Astyanax mexicanus: one gene and its partners. The protein of the gene in region 3 interacts with the protein of the main gene of each other region in a pairwise test. Links are inferred from orthologs where the notes say so. Each region holds a gene or a part of one and is shown on either strand. Other genes may lie near its edges.

Evidence for each region.
Region 1: the proteins of spry1 (region 3) and creb5b interact in binary tests that used the Homo sapiens proteins (3 or more experiments, as listed by UniProt). The two-hybrid records come from large-scale screens. The link is inferred for Astyanax mexicanus from reciprocal best matches to the Homo sapiens genes SPRY1 and CREB5.
Region 2: the proteins of spry1 (region 3) and gemin4 interact in binary tests that used the Homo sapiens proteins (3 or more experiments, as listed by UniProt). The link is inferred for Astyanax mexicanus from reciprocal best matches to the Homo sapiens genes SPRY1 and GEMIN4.

What each region holds. Positions count from the first base shown.
Region 1 is NC_064413.1:42,689,251-42,697,230, reverse strand, and holds the start of creb5b (cyclic AMP-responsive element-binding protein 5), read right to left. Parts: upstream 3,105-7,980; 5' UTR 3,032-3,104; intron 1-3,031. UniProt on the Homo sapiens protein: Binds to the cAMP response element and activates transcription.
Region 2 is NC_064425.1:16,115,046-16,122,467, reverse strand, and holds the start of gemin4 (gem-associated protein 4), read right to left. Parts: upstream 3,089-7,422; 5' UTR 2,884-3,088; coding exon 2,874-2,883; intron 1,831-2,873; coding exon 1-1,830. Other genes in the region: dhrs13b.2 (tapasin-related protein), read left to right, coding at 5,726-5,771. UniProt on the Homo sapiens protein: The SMN complex catalyzes the assembly of small nuclear ribonucleoproteins (snRNPs), the building blocks of the spliceosome, and thereby plays an important role in the splicing of cellular pre-mRNAs.
Region 3 is NC_064426.1:1,107,217-1,115,016, forward strand, and holds the start of spry1 (protein sprouty homolog 1), read right to left. Parts: upstream 3,003-7,800; 5' UTR 2,346-3,002; intron 500-2,345; 5' UTR 445-499; coding exon 1-444. UniProt on the Homo sapiens protein: Inhibits fibroblast growth factor (FGF)-induced retinal lens fiber differentiation, probably by inhibiting FGF-mediated phosphorylation of ERK1/2. Inhibits TGFB-induced epithelial-to-mesenchymal transition in lens epithelial cells.

The DNA of each region.
Region 1 (7,980 bases), on a different chromosome or scaffold from region 3:
ATGCTCCTTTTAAACAAAATCCAAAATTTTATAATAAAAAATCTTAATTTTACATTTAGTAGTTTTAATAAGTTAATACAGCTGTAAATAAAAAATCTGATATGCACAGATATTATAAACATAGTAGTAGTTGCCAGTAGCACACGGTTAATTTGCTAGTGTTAAATTAATACTGTTCGTGTTAGATTAACACTGTGGTTCTTACAATTTAACACCCGCAGTGTGAAATGAACATAAACGCTGTTAATTTAACACCCTTTAAAAGCTAAGGTCCTTCACTTTGAACTCATGAAGTTTCTAAGCGACATATAGCTACTGAACATCCTGACAGCATCACTACAGGGCAGTGTGTTAATGTGCGTTCATTTATCTGACCTTATTTAGTTAGCTACAAAATGTAGGTGTGCCTGGTTAGTATTTGAGATAAAAGTAGCTCTCTTTTTTTAAAGTGTACTTTTTATTGTTACTGATCTGTTCTAAACATTTAACAATACAAATGTTTTAAATGAATGTTAGTTTTATGTTTCGTATAACTAGTTCTGATATGCTTGCTAGAACAAAATGTTAAAATAAAAAGTTATGAAAATGCTGTTAAGTGTAATTTGTGCAACATCAAGGTTTTAAGCTTAAAATATTAACAGTCATGTTATGTGGCCACCATAAGAAAAAACATGAATGAGCTGCTCACTGAATTTATCTGATTTAATTTTGAATTTGGCATCAATATTCAGAAATGGGTCTGGGCTCTTATTGGTTAATTATGATAAGAGCTGAAATCAACAATAATAGTGTTAATACCATTAATTAGTCACTTGATTTGTTGCTCGTGCTAGTGAGTCTAGACGTCATTAGTGAGTGGGACTGTAGATTATAAACAGTGTTTCAGCCTGTGGGCTTTTGAAACCCCCCGGTGTGCTGGCTCAGCACTAAAGACCCTCAATCCTTCAGTATCTCAGCGCTTAATCAAACACACGGGCTGGCCTGCAGCATGACGTCATGCTCTGTTGCAGAGCGCGTGTTTTTACTGAAAAAAAAACAAAGAAATTTACAAACGCGATAAGATAACTATACTGTAGAGCGAGCGAGATTCAAAGCGACGCAGATCTAAACGCAGTGGGACAGACAGGAAGACATGCATGCATGCAGACAAACAGACAGACAGACAGTGGGTTGCTAGACTGCTGGCTGTCAGCTCGCGCTGTGTCTGCCCCTCCTGCGGGACAGAGCAGCAAAACCCGGGGGGTCTTTCATATCAAAGGCGGCACGAGCACACAGTGAAGGCAAGGAAGCATGTGCACGCGCGGCGCGGATCAATGAATGGGTACAGGTCCCAGAGAACCCGCGCGCACCAGTTGCATGTGCCTGCACGGAACACCACAATATGCAGCAGCAGCGGCAGAAGCGTGCATGCAGCTGCTGTCACCACGCGCGCGCAGGAAAAGAGCAAGAGCGCGAGCCCGGCCGACCGGGACAGACACAAACAAACAAGCACGCGAGTGAGCGTGCTCATATTGGTGCAACATGGGCTAGGTGGCTTTCATGTGGGCATGGGCTAGAAATAAGTTTGTAGCAGCACGTGTTTTGGGCTACTTTGTTCCCAAATGGGCCATATCACACAGTCCGACCACCTTAGTGTCATATGGGTCTCATCCACGCTCCATGTGCATGCAACCCAATGTACAACCCAGATTAAGCCCACGTTTAACCAACCCCTACAGGTCCCATCACTGACATCCACATCCAATGTTCATGAGCCAGTATGAAAAAAAAAAGCCTACGAACAAAACTTGCCGGGTCCATTAAGCTACCCATACAGACCACCACATATGCATGTTAACTATCTGGGCACCGGTTCTCTGACGAGGGCAGCAGCAAGAACTTCAGTGACATAAACTTCAAAACAACAAAGCAAAGTTTAGCCAGCTGGCACATGACCGACCTTCAAAGTTGAAATAGTTAAAATAATGTCAGCTGTATCAACTTGTTATTAGTGGAATGTTTTTGTCGTATCAATATGATCATTATTATGTTTTTAACATCTTATTGTTATATTTTGACTGTATGACTTAATAGAAAGAAAATATCTACATTCAAGAGTTTTAAAAAATAGAGAACATGTTTAAAATAATTTCTATGAAAAGGTTAATAAGTGACATAAATCAATGTTGAAATTTTAACTTGGAACATCACTCAACGTGATGTATGTATCTTGTAAATATGATCATTATTATGACTGTATCACCACTTTATTACATTTTGATCACAAGATAAAATATTTAAACTCCAACTAGAAAGTAAATAAAGTGTGTGAACAAACTTGTCAACGTTTTTTTTTACTTGTTCTGCTTCCATCTGAGGAACCTTTTCATCAACATGCACAGTTTTTCATGGTGTTCATTGTTCTGTACATACAGAACTACTGTTTTTAGTAAACCTTCTATCGAACCACCATACTTTTGGAAAGAATAGGGAAAGTTTTTTTTGGCTAGAGTTTAGTTAATGTTTAAAAAAAAAGATAAGATGTCAAAACAATGTTTCAGCACCAACACTGATTTATGTTTCAGAATCAAAACGGTGATATGAACTTAATATGACGCTGACGTTTATTCAACGTTGATAAACGCAGAAATGCCGGTTGGAGATCACGGCACGAGCTCCTGCTGTTTCTGCTGTTGCTCCTCATGCAAACAAACACGCGCGAGCGAACACAAACCTGTTACTTGCAGCTAAACTTCACAAAGGAACGTTTTCAAACGTTCAAAAAACTCGGAGCACCAAACGACAACGTCAGGGAAAAAAACATCCCCGGGACGCATCAAAGCACAAAAGCAACTTGTCACCCGCGCTCGAGCTCCAGAGCACGGACGGCCATCATCACCGCCAACGGCACGAGCTCAAGTTCACGCAGCCCGCGAGCGTGCGTTTGTTTTTTCTCTTCTTTTCTTTCCCCTCTTTCTTTCTCTCTTTCTCTCTGTTTCTCCTGCAGCAGAAAAGTCTACACACAGTTCACAGCAGCAGCCTGGAGACTTACCACAGCAGCGCGGAGAAGATGCAGCGCCTTTCTGAAGGAACCACGCTGGACTGAGGAGAGATTACAATACGAGCTATTTACAGAAGCATTACATCACCCTCCGGTGACGTCACGTGGGATTCCTGAACTTCTAAATCATTGCGGTCCGCGAGGAGGGGCTTCGTGGAAACGGGGCGGGGGTTGAGGGATGTGGGCGGGGTCGAGGAGGAGCCGCAACACTCACAGCTCACAGCTGGCTGAGTTCAGGCTGGAGATAGTAGGATACTTCTTGCAGGACATTGAGTTTTAAAGTACTTTAAAGTGAAAAATAGACGACTCATATCACTTACGGATCAAACAATTAATTAAATGATAAAAAATAAAGAAAGAATAATAATTATAATAAAATGTCTTAATGCAAATACTGCAAACATTTTTACATTAAAAAAAACATTAAAGTTTGTATTATTGTCATTAGGACCTGTACTGTCTGTAATGGGTGTTAGCACTTTTTACTCAAGTTTAACTGGACTCCAAAATGCTCCAAGTGTCACCTTCTCGTCTGGTTTTGCGTCTCTCTGGTTTATTTACCCTCCTCTGCACATGCCCTGTCTTTATTCTGTGTCTCCGCCCCTGTTGCTCACATGTTCATTTTTCGTTTTTTAGCTCTGCCCCCTTGTTACCCGGTCCCAGGTGTTTTTTATTTGTATTTTTTGTCCATTTGCATTTATAGTCTCCCTTGTCCCAGTGTTATTTGTCTTTGGTTGTACATCTAATGTCATTCAGGTTTCGTGGTCCTATGTTATCTATGTGATCAGTGTTTCCTTTAGTTTCTGTTTTTTTATTTCTTTATTCCTTTGATTTTAATAAATACTTGCATGTCTCATTCCTGCTCCCAACCGTGACACCAAATTATCAAGTGATTTAAACCAGAGCAAAATAATATAATCATAGCATAAAAAGTGAGAAAATTTGTGTTTGGTAGATTATTTCATTGGAAAGCATGTTAATTTCATGCATGTTAGTCTCTACTTGGGATGCAAACTTTTCTGTCTGTCCCTGAAACCCCTTATTATATGGAACCTGGCCTTCAGTTTGAAAATGCTACCAGGGATCACTTCAAATAATGCTGCAACTTGTTTTTGCGGAACACCAGTTTGAAGTTGAAGCCCTATTGCACTGGTCCTATCCACATCTGTCAAACGTAGCAAGCTGATTCTTGGAGCAGATACCTACTGACCACTATAGCAGTGCCCAGGCTCACTGGTGCTGCCAATAAGGTGCCAATCAGGCTGTACCAGAAGCTCAAAATAAGTGTCAAAAGCAACAGCAATATAAGCTGTTTGGCAATGGCAGAGAAGATTTGGCAAATTTTTCTTAATCTCAAACCCACATACTCAGCTCTGCTGTTCATCTCACAAATGCATGTTTCTTACAAATGTGGCAGCATTTAAATTTATAATTAACAGTATTTTCAATGATATGGAAGAAGCATAAGAAGCATTGTTACAACAAAGAAATAATCTAACAAACACAAATTTCCTTAATTTTGTGCTATGTTTTATTATAAACTTATGTACAGTACAAGTCAAAAGTTTCCACACCTTCTTATTCAATGTTTTTTTTCCTACATTGTAAATTAATATTAAACTCATCCATACTATGAAGGAACACATAATGAACCATGTAGCAAACTTAATGTGTTAAACAAAACCAAATACTCTGTGAAGCTTTTATGTGGCCTCCTCAAGTAGTTATTTAAATTACCTAAAGAGTTAATATAATTAACCCTTGACAAAGCACAGCTGTTACCTGAAAGCCATTCCAGGTGACAACCTCATAAACCTGACTGAGAAAATATCAAGATGTGCAAAGTTGTCATCTAAGCAAGAGATGCCTATTATTAACTGGTTAGTACCGGCACATTTTGAGCACTAATCAAAAAAAAAATTGAAAGACATAGCAAATTAATACAATAGTCATACACCTCCAACTGCATTCCTGTTAAAGCACATATTTCTGTCACTGGAACTCTAAACCATGTAGTAATGAGATAAGTATTTAATAAAATATATAAGTATATAATACATTTGATTTACAATATTATAATAGATAATTATATTCCAGTACTGTCTTAGTCTGATTACAGATGAATAAATGGATTTTATTGCTGTACCTTTCTAGGGGAGGGATATATTAGGTAGTTGTGTTAGAAGCAGGGCAATCATAAGGATCATCATAATGATCTGAGCCACTGTGCATTTATTGTGATGGCTACAAAACTTGGTTAGAGCATCTCCAAAACACCAGGCAGGTCTTGTGGGCTGATCCCTGTATGCAGTGTTCACACTACCCAAAAAAAGTGACAAACACATACTAAGTAGTGGTTTTAATATTATGGCTAACTGGTTTGTTTGTGTAGTTAACTACTGTAGTTGTTATAATGTCCTATCAATTTAATGGGCTGGGAACAAATTCACCAAAAAGCCAGTTCTTTGATTCCAGGCATTTGGGAATCGACATTCAACTCTAGAGCTTTAAACACGATTCCACCAAGAGAGCTGTACTCACACACAGAGCCGTTTTCACTGCCACTGTCTAGACAGCCTGTCTGAAAACGCGTCCTTCCACAACACACATATCAATAAATTGGCTATATTTAACCTTGGGCAGAGCATAAAAGTACAACAGTGGCTAACAATATAATGTCACAAGTGCTGAAACGTTTACTCTTCTAAAGGAACTGACAGAAGTATTAGACGCAGTCTAGCCACAATGGTCTGCAAATATTTGGACTCCCCATGGTCAAAATTCGAGTTACTGGAAATAATTCAGTGACATAAAGGTGAGCTGATCTCCAAATAGCATAAAGATTGCGAAGAAATATTCTTCTTGACATTTTTAATAAGATTTGTTCATTACTTTTATTATAAGAAAGGAGCACCATGTGGGTTAACTTGTTAAGAGTGGTGGTTTATACACAATAACTGTTGGAAATATGACAATGATGGAAATATGATGATGGAAATATGTACACAAAACTAGAAAAGGATTATAAATATATAAAAACACCAAAAAGTACAAGTATGGAAGAGCAAGAAAACTTTCAAAGAGAACTACATAACTGACATGAACTGTGATTCTTTCCTATGTCTTGATTTTTTTAATTGAAAAACTTTTTTGGGATTGACTGTCAGAACAAAAAGTAGATGCTGCGAGATTTATAAATTCTAACCCATGTGTTGCCATGCACAACTTTTAGTCCTTCTATTGATGATCAAGTTCTGACCACAAGAACAAGAGAAAAAAAAATAGGGTTTAGGTCATTTAGGATCATTGCTCTACTTGTAGAAAACATCATCTTTTTATCTGTAAGGAGGACCACTGTTATAGTGTGTTATGCAGCAATAGTACTAGAATTACTTTAAATGATGCTGTCTCCAGTTTATCTGACACACACACACACACACACACACACACACACACACACACACACACACTGGTACACTCTTGCACTTGGGGCATTTTTGGTTTCATCCCCTGGTCAGCAGGCCAGCGTGACTAATTGTGCCAGGCTCACCAGTGTCTCAGTTCATACTAAATAATGGAAGTGCCAGTGGGTAAATAAATTATTGGCAGGATTATGTCTGCCCGCAAGTGTTGGATTTAGAAGATGGTGTTACAGAATCAAAGCTGTGACTTCTTTGCCCTGAGATAATTTCCAAGCAGACGTAATATGATGCAGGTAACATCGTAACACAGTCGTACCACACGGTACCTTATTTATGAAAAGGAAGTGCTTTATCATACCTTTAAAAACATGTGTTCTCTGTTTAAAGGTAAGAATACCCAATAATAATGTTTATTAATCACTATACACTGCACTATACATACAGTGTACACATCTACGTTATTAGACAAATTATGACAGTTACACTTTTAAAATAATTAATAAACATTTAATCACAGAACTATACCACATCTAATTTACCTGTTGTATATGTTAAATATATTATGTGCTGAGCTGAAGATGTATGAAGATAATCTGTGCTAATTAAAATACAATATATAACAATAAATAAATATGAATAGAGCACGCACCTGAAGCTGACAGTAGAACCAATGTTAATAAATAAAATAATGATACATTTCTTACCTTATTCATATTACACAAAGGTCTAAATACCCATAGTGTAGAGAGGTAAAGTAATATGGCAAGTTTTGATACTGATCTTCAAGGTCACCGCAATAGTGATACTGCTGTAACTTGATAATGTAAAAAACAGTCTGTAGCTCTTTTTAACTGGCACAGGTTTGCTTTGCACAAGGTTAAAGAAAGGATATCACTGTTACCGTGGAATAAAAAAGGCAAAATCTTCACCCTTCACCATTCAACAGTGGATTCAGGGTCCTGCTTAAATGCATTGAGAACGTTAACTATGAACAGTTCTAATAAAATTGCACATTTACAGTTTTTATCTTACTTTTATTTTGTCTGTTCAGCTTCATTTTATTTGTTAATATACACCCCTTCCTGCTCTTTAGGCCTGAAACACACTCCAAAAAAAGTTGGAACCGGAGAAATTGGGGTATAGTAAAGAAGAAAAACTAACTAATTATGTGGTTTCAATCAGGTGATGTAAACAGGAGATTATAATCAAGATTTAGTAGGAAAGCAGTATCCACAAAGAGCTGTTTGCTCTTTGAGGAGCAAATATAGGCAAAGGATCTCCAAATTGTAACAAATGCATAAAAAGAGTATTGAAATGTTTAAAAACAACATTTCCCTAGACATACTGGAAGAGATCTGAAGATTTCTTCCTCTGCAGTGCATAATACCATTGCATGATTCAATCAATCATGAGAAATTTCAATGTGTAAAGGGCAAGGGCACAAGTCTATACTGAATCTAACTGAGCTTTGATCCCTCAGATGGCACTGCATCCAGAATTGTAAATGAACAACAATAG
Region 2 (7,422 bases), on a different chromosome or scaffold from region 3:
GAGCTGAAGAGAACTTGTTCCACACACTGGTCTGCAGGCACCTGCATAACAAATTCTGCTCCTGAGAGCTCCTGAGGCCTGGCAGCTGTTGGAGAATCTGTGCAAGAAAAGTATGAGCCCCAAGGTTCACCACAGCCATGTGGCAACATCGGCCCAAAGCAGCCTCAGGGTTCTGGAAGGCAACACGAGCTACGGCTGAGACTGCCGAGCTCAGGCTGCTTTTCGCCTGAGCTCCACCCTGAATGATGCTGTTGAAGGCTAGGTTGAGTTCCCCATCGTAGCCTGCTGTAACAGAGCTCGGAAGAAATCCATGTAAGCCTTTCTTGGACAATTTAAGGATTTCAGAAAGTGCTGCATTCTTGTCAGGCAACAGAAGCTGGGAGAAAATGTCCATAATAATGTTTTTCAGTTTTTTAGACTGATTTACGTCAGTATCACCCTGGCTTTTGGCTATAAGAGTAGAAACCAGGGTCATAACCAGGTCTTTTTGCTGGAATGCACTTTTGTTTCGTTCGAGACAGTTCAACCACTCTGTCTCACTGATGGCTTGGCTTAGTTTGGAGGCATAGAGTTTAGGAAGGTCCTGGAAACCCTGCAGATTACAGTCAAGAATGGCTGTAGCAACACTTGCTATTTCAGTTGAGGGGCTTTCAGACATGCTAAAAGATGAGGAAGCTAGCAAATCAGTCAAAGCCTTTTTCAAATTAATCAAGGCCTGTCCATTTTCATCTAGATTTTCAGATTTCATCCGCTCTAAAGCCTCCAGGACTCTTTGCAGACTGTCTTTGAGACGGAATGCGAGGACACTTGGTTCACTTGGTTGGTTGGACATTGTCAGCAATGCCTTTGCTTCCCATGAGCATATTATTCCAAGTAGCGTCTCCATGGCTTGTGCAAAGGTCATTCCGCACGGCTTGCTCTGAGCTGGAGTTAGTGTGGCCGCAAGATCTCTCTGGGCTTCAAATATGGCCTGAGCAAGTTCAGCTCCCTCCAAGACAGAATTCTTCCTTCGCTGGCTTACTGGGCGAGCAATGTTTTGCAGTTTAACTTCAACTGGGAGTTCCACTGCATGATCTAACATGAAGGAAGTATACAGCATGTCTAGGCAGTTGGAGAGACCAAAATAACACAGTCCAGGAGAGGTTATACACTCTTTTATGCTGTTCAGTGTCTCAAACAAAAGAGAAAATATGCACATGTTGGGTACAGCAGCTTCTGGGTCTGGTTTAAATCGCTTTGAAGCCTGAGATGAGCAGTCTGAGGTGATCTGTCCAAATCGTATGCACTGGGCACTAAAGATTTGGTCCAGATTATCCAGCGATTCCCTCCGTCCCTTCATCATCTCCCACCACACCTCCAGCAAGAACTTCACATCCTCCTCTTTGCAATCACTTGAGACATGTTTCGCTAACCTCTCCAGCTCTCTCCACTGCTCAGCTTCTTGAAAGCACTGGAGCAATTCAACATAAATGCTGTAGAAACCCACTGATTTCACCAACTCAAACATAACCACATGGTTTATATCAGGTAGGCTGCTTTGAACAGAAAACAGTGGATTTTCCTTCCACTGGACATCAATATCCTCTCCTGTCTCCATCTCCAAGATCTTGCTCCATACTATACAGAGAATCCTTTTTCTCCAGTTAAGCTGGTCCTGGTTGCCTCCACACCGCTGTCCACATATCTCGGTGACTGCTTGAACTACTGGCCGCCCAACTCGCTCCCAGTCCTCTTTTCTCAAAGCAGAGAGAGGTGCTGGCTGGCACAACTGATTAGCCAGCAGAAACCCACCCTGCAGGACAGCAGTCTTCTCACAGCTCAGCCAGGATTCTGTAGGAAGAAGACACAAAACAAATTCAATTTAATTTAATGTAGATTAGAATCTGTTCTATATTGTACTCTGATACATTCATGACTGCACATCTCACAATCCAAAATAGGCAGCAGATTTGCAATTTTTACAATATCTAACAGGACGTTATGTGATTACCTAGGTACATTCTATGTTTTCAGTCATCAGTTTTATTGGTTTAAAGCATGAATGATTCAGTGCACTAAAACTTACAGATTTACAAAGAGGCAACATTTGTTTTTTAAATCTATAATACAACCAGTTGCTGCCAATTCTTCTACAATTAGAACAAATAAAGTATTGATTACACAAAATAACAGGCTGGTTCTAATGGTGCCAATCTCACCCACAGTAAATGTAAATGTAAAAAATGTAAATACAGTTTCAATGCTGCAAACATAAATATATTTTAGTCTTAAATGTGTCAACATTTCTTGATGAATGTACCACCAGAAATTATCCAATTTACTTCCTTTGAAAGTCAAAAAGGTTTTGTCTCTCTCCTGTACAGCTGCTGTTTCTGAGATTCATGTTTCACATTGACAATTATTGCTTATTATATAGTAATGATTTCACACGAACAACATATGAGGCGTTTCTTTGATTTTACCAAATTAAAAACCTCTGGAATATAATCAACAGGAAGATGGATGATCACAAGCCATCAAACCAAGCTGAACTGCGTGAATTTTTGCACCAGGAATGGCATAAAATTATCGAAAAGCAGTGTGTAAGACTAGTGGAGGAGAACATGCCGAAAAACCAGGGTTATTCCACCAAGTATGATTATGAACTTGTTTTCTTTGCATTATTTGAGATCTGAAAGCTCTGCATCTTTTTTGTTATTTCAGCCATTTCTTATTTTCTGCAAACCATTGCTCTAAGTGACAGTATTCATGTTTGGAATTTGGGAGAAATGTCCGTAGTTTATATAATAAAACAACAATGTTCATTTTACTTAAATATATACCTATAAATAGCAAAATCAGGGAAACTCATTCAGAAACAGTGGTGTATTTACCTTGGTCCATTTTGTTATTCAGCCGAACAGAACCATGTGTTTATTCTTTAGTCCGTTTGGTCACGTGGTTTTCGTGAAGATAATATCGGTTATTTTAACCTACAGTTTAACAGGATTAAACCGGTTATTTACAGCGAGTGTTTTATTTTATCAGCACGAGGACAGAACTGAAGTTTCCCACCGAGAGCTGTTCGTAGGAGCAGAGAACCTTTAGAAACGAGAATACACACTACAGAATCTCTTCCGGTTCGAGCAAAATCAGAGTTTATTAATGTTTAATATTTTTTTTCTGTGAAATGTACTAATTTTCCCTAAAACAGAACAATACTAAATGTTTCTGCAGTGCAGACATGATTTTCAAGCTTATAAACTCTAGTTATAACACTTTAAACTCATTGTTCTGGCTGTATCTCCAGCATCAGCTCTCTAACCAACCGGTCAGCTCACAGTGTAGCATCAACGCTAGCGTGTTTACTCCCCAAAACCTGTTTAGTGTAGAACAACAGACATATATAGATAATTTTAGTTTGCCCTTTTAGCAACATATTTTGTTGTACCTAAATTATATGAATATCCTAGTTAGTTAAAAATAGCTAATTACTATTTTTTACTAAAGTTTTAACCATTTAGCTCCATTCACCCCTATTCATTTTGGACTCGCTCACTGGCTCCCTCTAGCGATTCACATTCATTTTCTACAAAGGAAGTGGGCATGCTCGCCATAAACCGGCTCTTGCAGGAGCAGAAGCTGGTTTGTGTAGAGAGCATGCACACTTTAAAAAAATGACTGTTAAATCTGGAGTCAGCCCGCGAGCGAGTCAAAAATTAATGGGGGTGAATAAAGCTAAAATGCTAAAAAAATACAGTAAAAAATAGAAATTAAGAACTTGCTCAAGATATTTATTTAATTGTAGAAAGTAGAAAGATGCATTATTAAAAAAAAGTAAAGAAAACTTATCTATATTGTTCAGTTTTTCTTCAGTAAACAGGTTTAGGCAGTTAACACTCTAGCATTACTGTGAACTGACTGGTTGGTTAGAGAGCTGATGCTGAATTACCGTCAGAGCACTGAGTCAAAAAGATTTATAAATAGCGATTTAAACCTAAGAGAAAAACATATGAAGGTTGGGCATCCTATAAGGTAATGTTTCCTTATGTCAGTTTGTTAGACACACTCTTGTTGTTGTGTAATTATATATATGCTAATTAAAAGAATACAATTACTGTATCAGTTACTGTATTTCTCTCCTAAATTGTAATTACAAAAGTTCGGCTGTTGTAGTTAATTTTGCCATACAGTTTATTTAAAGCTATTTAAAGTATTGGGATTGTCTGGTCTCCCTACCCTTGTTAAATTGGGTAAATGCATGTGTAATATTTGAAAGATTTATTGCTAATATAAATAAACTATATTACCTGGCACAGCAGTTAGTCTGCGGTATTATTTTACATAAACTTTGCTACTATAACTTTACCTCAGAAAATGTTTCCCCCTTTATGCAGGTTGAAGTGCATTTACTTCTTACACGTACAGTACTAGTGTGCCTTATATTATATATATATATATATATATATATATATATATATATATATATATATATATGTTTTTTAATTTTATTCATACAGTTGTTTACAGCAGAATACAGAGTTAAACTGGAGTGGATTTAATTTACAGTAATTATGCTTATAAACAATTTACAATACCATTTCACCCAGTAACTCTAACACTGTCTGCACCATCTTTACACTGAGAACACGGTGGTTCCCTGTGTAAAGTGGTTCCATGATTGTTTAATAAAACTGGAGTGGATTTGGAGTGTATTTATGAAGTGGCTCCATAGGAACCCATTCATTTTGGACTTACTTTGGAACGCCCCCTGGTGGTTCAACAAACCCAGACAACATTCAGAAGTGCGTAATCTCTCCTCTCTACTAAAGATTCTCTGGTTAGAGTTGCCAGGTTCGTGGTTTTCCCGACAAATTGGGCTTGTTTATAAATCCAGTCGCGGGTAAAACATTTTTCGGGCTACTTTTAAAAATTACCGCGGCCGCCAAAAAACAAACAAAAAAATCTCCATGTAACCAGAAATTACAAGGCGATTTAAAAAAATGTTAAAGAGGAAAAAAGAGTTTTCAGGAAGGGCAAAAACAGAAAAAAGGAAAAGTCAGTTCTTTCTTTTTTTTAGCTAATTATGTTACTATTAAATGTTCTTGACTGGGATATAAAACTGTTATAAAATAACTGATAAAACATCAATGATGTTACAATATTGTTAATGACTTCAAGATAAATAGCACTACTGATAATAAATCCCGTATAAACAAAATACTAAGTCGTGCACTCATAGTTGTTTTGTCATTTGCTTCAAACGTGTGACAAAGCTAGTTTAAGATTCTGAAGGGCGGGTTTTAGACTGACTTTGGGATGGATATTTTTATTGGACCTGGCAACCCTGTCTCTGGTAGGTAAGCATAAGCTTCCCAGACCAATGAGAGCAGAGATGATAGAGAAATCTGTCGGAAGTTTATAACTGGCGCCCTCACGTGGCCAGACTACTGTACATGTACGTGTGTCATTTGTCCACATTAATTTCATACACATGTATATTCCTCTGTCAGTTTGATATGATAGATTAGTATGAATTAATGAATAAATGATTGAGTGAATAAGTGAGTCTGTCTGTTGGTCAGATCTTCCTGAAGCCCCTGTAGATCAGAGGGGTGGGTGTAGGTGTGGGAGGGACTGGGAGCAGCGCTGAATTGAAAGTGAAAGCAGATCAGTGCAGTAGTTACTTTGTTAATTTGCATGGCGGTTTGTTCGCGCTGGAGGTGTCCAGGTGGTCGTGTTTATCATGAGTGTTGTGTTTGGTGGTCTTTTCCTCGCAGTGTTAGCTTCAGGTAAGCTGAAGATGGCTCGAGGTCTGGTTAATGTATGACGTGTCTCATAAAGACACACAGGTGCATATTGAAGGCATGTTTTTCCAGTAGACTCCAGTGTAAGGTGTATAACAATATTATCCGTTTTGATATACATGTAAATATATACTGTACTGTAGGTGTGATGTGTTTTAGGACATTGTTTTCATGTCTAATGTATGTGTCTATGTTTTAATATAATCTAGTGTTAGAATTACTACTTGGGATAAACTTGCTTTCAGTTTTGATTCTCCAGAAGCAGGGGACTTTCTCAACTGAAAATATAAGGCTAGAGCCCCACACACTAATGGTGACCTTCTGCATGCTTGTTTATATTTAGAGATATTATATTTAGAGGTGGCACTGAGAATCAGTATCAGTTTATATGTGACATGCATGTTGAAATACTATGTTGGCAAAAGTGTTGGGACACCTGCTTGTTCATCATGAATTCTGCTTCTGTTGAAGTAACTAGCTAACATTGCTATGAGGATTTTATTGCATTCAGTTTCGAAAGCAGGATGTTGGATGAATGATCACCACCACATCTCATTCACACCCAACTCCCAAGCTTTTTCCCAAAAGTAATGAGTGGAGCACCATCATTCCAGATAACACATTTCAAACACTGCTCCACAGCTTAAAACTAGGGAATTCATTAATGGGCCATTTGTTGTTGTAACTCTTGCTCTTCCAAATGAAACTTATTTTTTTTTATCTTTTTTTCAACTCTGAATCTAATAGCACATATTTAACTATTCAAAACATGTGCTGGTCAATCTCAGACAGCTTTACTTAATTGTTTACAAGGTTTCTGAGGTGAAGATGGTTTCAAACTCATGTGACATTTTAAAATTATGTTTAAGCGCCGAGTGGTCCAGTGGTCTAAAGCGCTGCCACTATGAGCGGTAGGTCGCAGGTTCGAACCCCAGCTCATGCAGCTTTACCATCAAGCTGCCGGCGCTCAGAGGGAGCACAATTGGCCCTGCTCCCTCCGGCTGGGTAGATGGCGCTCTCTCCCCACATCACTCCTACGGTGATCTCCACAGCACAGGGCGTCTGTGAGCTGATGTATCAGAACCGAGTCACTGCGCTTTCCTCCAATCGCGCTGGCTGCTTGGCAATGCTGCATCAGCAGCAGCTCGAAGAGAAGCGGTGGCTGACTTCACATGTATCGGAGGAAGCATGTGTTAATCTTCACCCTCCTGGGGAGAAAATGGGGGAAAAAAAAGTATGTTTTAAAATAAAATACAATTTTTTTTTTTTTTTTTTTAAGTTGACCGGATGTTCAAGTGTTGAGATTGCCCGTCTAAGTCATTGTTACAAAACGATCAAATATACAGCAGAATAAATGAAAACTTAATTATGCCCTTCAAAAGAACCAACTGATGTAATTTCCTGTTGTAGATGTGACTTGTAGAATGTTCTAAATGTTTTAGAAGGGGTAATGTTTTACGGTAACAGGAATGAGTGAAACCCAGGGTTAGTGAATTCGTCCTGATCTCCAATTCCACCCACTATCTTGTTCTCAACTTTAACACACAATTGTGTCAAGTCGGGATGGTGAAGGCTGGCATGGCCTATTAAATGTTAGGTAATTAACACCATGTTGGCTAACATAACACTGAAACCC
Region 3 (7,800 bases):
TTGATGGTGGTGGTGGTGATGATGGTGAAGGTGATGATGGTGTTGGTGGTGGCGCGATTGCGGAGACTGTGCCAGCAAGCCCTGCTCCGAAGACGCACTTCCGCTACTGCCGGAACTCCCAGCGCTACCCATGCTGGTGGAGCGGCTAAGGGTGGGCGGCCTGGTGGCTACGGGCCGCGCCTCGTAGTTGTTGTTCACATTGACGAGGATAACCTCGTGAGTCCTCTCGTGTTTGTCACTGACACGGGGTGCCGGGGCGGGAGGCCGGCGTGCCGCCACTGCGGGACCCTCTGTGTACTCGTTAGACGAGCGGATGGCTCGGATCTGCTCCAAGGAGAGGATGGCCCCGGCTGGAAGGTCCAGGTCCAGACGTTCCCCGGGCGCCGGCGGCTCCCGGATCACCGCCACTGATCCGGCGACTCCGCGGTGACCGCGACGATCCATCTGACCTGATCAGCGACTCCCTGCGCAAGCACGGACTCTAGTCTCATCGGACGACCTGTCGGGAAAAGAGAGGGAGAGAAAGAAAGAAAAAGGGAGAGAGATGAGTACAAAAGCTCCAAAGTTCCAAAGTTTATAAAAAAAAGCAGAAAAGCTGAAAAGTCTATACAGTTTAAGAAAATCAACACTGGTTTATGACCTTAAAGAATTAATTGATTTAATGTTACATTAAATTACAGAACAATAAGATGTAAGTTAACAGCAGAATTTCACAGCTCTAGATTGATCAAAGTCTATGAAAGACTGTGACCGTCTGAGAGACTAAGATTAAGCCTCTGAGCCATTAGGTGTTAGACTCTTCAGGTGTGAATCAAATGGATGGTTTCCTACAGTCGTTCACACTTCTCGATTCCCGACTCGCACCTATTCACCAGCTTAACCTCTTCTATACCTTCTATACCTTTGTGTCTCTACTGTCATGCAAAACCCCCGTATCTCCATATTTGACATTCTGCATTTTATTTAGGCTATGTAAATCTGCCACTGATTTTTACATCAATGAAAACAAATCGAATTATAAGAAACTTTTTCTGGCTGTAAAAACCGTTGCTGTTTGGAGATTTAAAGATCAACATGGGATAAATCCACCTACTTTGATAAACATTTTTTTGATAAACTGAGAATATTTTGTACATTAATAGACACTTCTGCAAATCTGATTAGAAGCAAACTAAAGCAAACTGGGTTAATCCATGGGACAAACTGGACTAAACTCTAAAATAAATAAAATCCTCTTATATTATTGTCTTGCTGACTTTGACTAACTTTTTTGCTCAGACTATGGCTTTTCCCTAAATATATTACATTGATAATAAAAGTAATTTACACATTGTCAGCTATGTTGGGAAGCGCAATATATACCAATATATACAATCTTCAGCAGCAGGCTGTTCATGCACATTAATAACACATTAGTAACTCTATTTTACAACAAAAGACTATTATTTATCACGTTTTTGCCAATAGATATTTAGTTAAAGCAAAACTTCAAAGCACTAAACTAAAAAAACATGCTTAAACAAGCCAAAACACTTCTCTCCATATCCAGAATTAACACTTCGCACAATTTTTGCACCTTTTAAAAAGCGCAAATGAAAGAAAAAAACACACACAATGCAACTTAACTTACGCAAAACTTAAAACTTAACTTACGCACCCCCCCCCCCCCCCCCCCGCCACTGCAGGTCGAGGACGAGTCCAAGAGGAAGCGAGGGGAGGAGGGGGGGTAACTTATGAATGAAAACAAGCCCTGTGGGGGGAGGGGTGGGTATTTGGTAGTTACCGCGCGAGGAGGGGTAGTAGAGGGGGGGTAACAGAACTCTGTAGGCTCTAGTCAACCTAGCCTCGAGCCCTCGAGATCGCGTGCATGCATGTGCACTACACAGAATACACACTAACGTTACTCTTTCTAGTGCACACTACTTTTAACGAATAACGAATTGCTAAAAACATTTTTCCCTTGTTTTCGGACAGTTCTGCGTTATAAGCAGCGACGGGAGGGAGTATAGTATAGTGTGTATTCGAGTGCACATGCATTGTGCATTGCAAGCTCGAGGCTACGCACGCACGAGCGTCTGTGAGCTGAGATTCAGATTCAGTTTGCGCACAGACGTTGTTGCGTTGCGCCTTTTATTATTTTTTCGGTGCAACTACAGCAACTGAAGCAACCCAGTAACAAACCCCCCCTTCCCCTTCTCTCTTTCCTCCCTAGAAATGCGTAAACAGGGCACGCGCGTGCATGCACGCGCACGCACGGTCTAAAAAAGACCCTACAAGGGACGTGTTAGTTAGCTAGTTACTTAGTTAGTAGTTAAAATAGTGAAGCACGAGCAGCAGCTACGCACCTACACGCGCTCCTCCGCAGCTCTGACGCCATCAGCCAGTGCGGCTCGCGTGCGTCTCCCAGAATCACGCAGGAAATCTCACGGCGCGCGCGCTGTGTGTCTGGACACTATACATCCATATACAAAAACAGGGGCTCGCGGTACTCCAAGTCCAGTCTTTTCGGTGTGATCCAGGGAAATGACGTTAAATCCAGGAAAACTGATGATAGTAGCGTTCAAAAATATGTATATATAGATATATTCGCAAATATTATCGTTAAAATAAATATTAATAAAAATAACAACAACAATAATAATTGCAGTGATAGTGTCCTTTAGCACGCGCTGCACAGCCGCAAGGAAATCCCAGTTTTAGTCCAAGCACGAGCGCGCAGACGTTAAAAAATAAAAAAAATGTAAAAATGAATTAATAAAACCAAAAAAAATACAACAGAAATCCCTCGTATGTCCTCTCGCGCTCCGTATGAGCCTCGCAGCTGAACGTCACGCGTAAATCCGGGTACTGCGGGTTGTAGTCCGTCCGTTTCGCACGGTAACTTTTTTTTCGTAGCTACGCTTCGTGTTTTGGTGTTTTCGCGTTTTCGCTGTTTTCTCTTCTCCTGCGCGCGTGAAAGATCGCTCGCGCTCTCTCCGCTCCGCGGTAATGAATGGGAGCGCAGCTCCGCCTCGCGCTCTGAAACCGGACACGGCGCATCCGCTCCGCGCCGATTGGCCACGGGCTGCGGGCGGGGCGAGGCGGGGCGGGGTTTAAGGTGGACCGGCGTTAATAACGTGCAGCGGAGCGGCTGATCTTTTACACCCTGCAGATCACTGATCAAACCACTGATTAACAAACTGTTCATCAATACTGATCAGTATTAATCAGCCCTACATAGGAAACTATGTTGAATTAATGTATGCAAAAGCTTCACAAGGTGTGCACTTAATATTTTTATTTTTATATCATTACTGTTATTATTGTCACTTTGCATATAAGTGTGTAACTTTGTTAAACCGAAATAAACTAAACTAAATTGAAATAAACGTTAATTTTTACATCCATAATGCTGATCTCTGCCATCAGAACTGATGTATTTGTGCAAATTGATTCAACATTGATTTTACTCTATGGTTTTATATGTACTTTTTATAATTAACTGCACTTTTTAATTAAATATACATCTTGTTTCTTATAGATTATAGTACTGTGTTACTGCAGTGCAGAATTAGACAATTAAATAATAGTAATGTCTTATAAATATAATACTTACCTACTTAATTACTATTATTATCATTATTTTTAGTATTTAAGAGAATCACCTTTTACCCAAAAGCATTAATGTGAGTGTAGAAGAACTCCAACCACTATTTAAACTAGTTTAAACTAATGAATGCTGATTAAATGTCAGAATTTTAACACTAATTATAGCCAGTGTCTTTTATTAAATACAGGCAATTCTAACAATCAGTACTGATAACACTAACTGTAGATCATAACTGATATTATCATAACGAATCCATTCAGATTAATACTAATCTTTTTTATCACTATTCATTCACTTTAGCATGCATATTTACTACTGATCAATACTGATCTCTATTACTACTACTGATAAGTTTATGTCAGTAATAACTAGTGTACTTCTGCACCACTGATCAATACGGATTAATATCAGCGTCTACATTCAGTTTATAGACACTACTGAACTATCGTTACTGATCAATACTGATCTCTATTATCTAGACTAATCAATTATACAGTCTGTCTGATCAGCACTGATCAATACTTCTTCTGATAGTTTCTAATCAGGACGCGGGGTTAATCCTGCAGGCGAGCTGTGAGCTGTGTGTGTGTGTATGTGTGTTAAGGGGGGGTTAAACCCATTGTAAACATGCACGCGCGGCTCCACCTTAAGAAGCGCGAGGAGCCCCCGTGCCCCACAATCTGACCGCGCGGATGCGCCACATCCGGCTCCTGCTGAAAAAGGGGAAGTTCAGCACAGAGTCAGGAGGGGGAGGGGCCACCAGTACAGGCCTGCAGTTATATATAGATATACACCTCTACCTTTATATATATACACCTACTGTATATACACCTCTACTGGTATATACTCACCTACTGTTATATATTTCCCTACTGTATATACACCAAATACTTATATATATACACCTCTACTGTTATATACTTTTATATAAACGTCTACTTTTAGACATACACCTACTGTTATATACTCCTATTATATAAATAGCAGTACTCATATATACATCTACTGATATATATATATATGCACCTACTGTTATATACTCTTCTACTTTTATATATACACCCCTACTGTTATATATACACCAATATTCTTATATACCCCTAGTGTTATATACACCTCTATTGTTATATACACCAATACTCTTATATATACAACTATTGTCATATAAAACTCTACTTTTATATATAATCCTACTGTTATATAAACCTCTACTACATATACCCCTGTTGTTATATACACCAATAGTCTTTCACTTACTAGTCTCTTACCTATTCTCTTAAATTGGATATATCCAGGTGGTCCTGTCTATACTGTATATAGACAAATATATATATACATTATACATATATCTGTATGTTTAATCTGTCATTACAGCACATGCTATGCTAATTGCACTAGCTGATACTTTTATTTTAAGCTTTTTTTTTGCTCTTTTTTCAGTTTTAGTTTTACAGTGTTTGTTTTTAATCAGCTGTATATTTATGCTCTGAGGAGAAGTTCTGCTTTGTGTGTCTCTCAGGATCAGAGCCGGCAATAAATTAATAAAGCTGAAAAGTGCACGGCTATAAAACTCCCAATTTGTGATCAAATAAAACTTTTTATGGAGCCCGTAATTCATCGGAGGCCGGATGAGTTCTGCAGGTCCAAGATCCATTTCCTCCGAGTAAACAATTTAACAACAGCACAGGACGGGAGGAGGAGGGGGGGGGGGGGGGGTGTTTATTTAATCTGCTGACGTGGGACGCTGGTACAGACCAACACAGACAATAAAGAAGCTCCATTTATTATCAGTTAATCAGTTCAGATCCTACAGGGGGTAGAAGAGTCTTTATACTGGGGGGCGCTGGCCCCCTCGGCCCCCCCGTCAGCAGAAGGGCCGGGTGCCGTGATGCTGCTGCTGGTAGGAGATGTAGGTCTGAATGAGGGATTCTGGGACTCGTGGTTTAATAGCAGACAGGGCGGAGTCAAAGTGCCGGTCGGTGATGTGCTCGGCTTTAATGTCCTCCTGAAGGGCGAAGAGTGCAGCTTCACGACACACTGCAGTTATCTGATAAACAGAGAGAGAGACAGAGAGAGAGACAGAGAGAGACAGAGAGAGAGAGAGTATTTATTTATCATTCGTGGATCTTAGATATTATACGATCTTTATACATAATAATACTTACAGTAAGAGTAAATACTCAAAATACAGAAAAAATTACAAATCAAAACAGAACAAAACATTTATCAATATTTATAATTTGTTCAAAATCTTTTATGATGTGTTTTTAAAAGATGTTGGCAGCAATCCTTATTTATATAATCATATTAAATACATTACATATAATGTCAACTTTATAGGAATGGAATATTAGCCCCCACAGTGCTGAATGTAGAAATATCTGATCCCCACATTGTAAAATCTGAGGATATTCAGTCCCCACAATGTTAAGTTTAGACACATTCAGTCCCCACAGTGTCGAAATGTAAGAATACCCAGTCCTCATAATATTCAGTTTAGGTATATTCAGTCCCCACAATGTTGAAATCAGGGATTTTTAGTACCTACAATGTCATACAGGAATATTAAATCACCACAAAGTCAGATTTAGGTATATTCAGTCCACACAACATTAAAATGTAGGTATATTCGGTACCACAGTAAAAAAGAAAGTTCGAATATTAGTCCCCAAAATGTCAAATTATGCCTGTATTAAAGTTAGGGATAGTTAGTCTCCAAAATTTCAAAATGTAGGAATTGTCATCAATCCTGATCAAAATTTATGAATATTTATTCCCCTACAAGGTCAAGTTTAGAAATATTCAGTCCTTACAATGTCAAAATCTAGGGATATTTAGTCTCTACAATCATATTTAAGAACATTTGGTCCCAATAATGTCAAAACATATGGCTTTTTAATCCCTGAAAAATGTTAACCCACTCTGGGATCAGTTTTAAGGAACATTTTTGGACTCTGGTTTTATTTGGACACTGAAGAACGATCCTTTATCTACACTGGACACCCATAAAGATTCCACCTGTTACCTGTTTACGCTCTCAAGCAAAACTCCAGGCAGAATAAGAGTCCTGGATGAGCGTAATCACCCTGAAATATTTCATGAATGCTTTTCATAATTTGACCAATAATGCTGTATAGTTTGCTGTGGGTAAATATGTCAGCCACATGACTAATCACAGAGACCTGCAGGCCTGCAGCTCAGCGGAACACGCCGTCTTATTCCACTGATCAGAACGCAGATGCAGTGGCATGGCACCATGCCCCGACCACAAATTAGCACAGCCTTCAGTTTTTTTTAAAGATTACACACCCACCTGTGTGCTAAAATATTTCCAGTAATTACAGGTAACTATTTTTACACCACAGAACCAACTCTGCACTCGAGAACCGTTCTGCAGAACTGTGCATTTTAACAACAGAAACTGCAACAATTTACACTTAAAACTAACAGTTTAAATATAAAATTACATATATTATATATAAAGAAGATAAAAGTGATCAGGATCAATAAATTATTAGAAATTTAGGCTGATATTTATGGTATAATACCCCTACCCCACAATTTGCAGCTACTGTGCATAGAATATACTGGAGTTATTATGGGATGGATAATGACAGGAGGAACATTAGGAACCTCTACAACTCTCTACTACATGCTGAGACATCTGTTATGTTGCAGCGTTACACATCTGTTACACAAACACTACTATACTATTATATTGTGTAGATCAATAAATATTACCCTAAATATCAGAATAAATTTATAATCATTTATTGATCCTGATAATTTTTATCTTTCTTCTGAACAGAATTACAATTGCAAACTTCCCTCTGGGTGCAGATATTTTATCTTAAAACATAATATTTAGTGTGAGTGGCCAGTTATATATATATATATATACTTATATATTTATATTTATATATATATGAACAGCACACACAGGTCCACCACTCTCCCCTCTCTCTCTCTCTCTCTCTCTCACTTTTTCTCTCCGTGTCACACGAGAGATAGATCGCTTCCTCTGGAGCAGAGAGACCCAATGATTATGCAAGAGAGAAAAAGAGAGAAAGAGAGAAAGAAGGAGAGAAAGAAAAAGAGAGAGAGAAAGAATGGGCGAGTGAGGGAGCCTCTGGAGTTCATCAATGTTTTCTCTCTCTCTCGCGCTCCACTCATTTTCGGATGTGACTCATGCCCGAGGCTTGTTCAGTGCG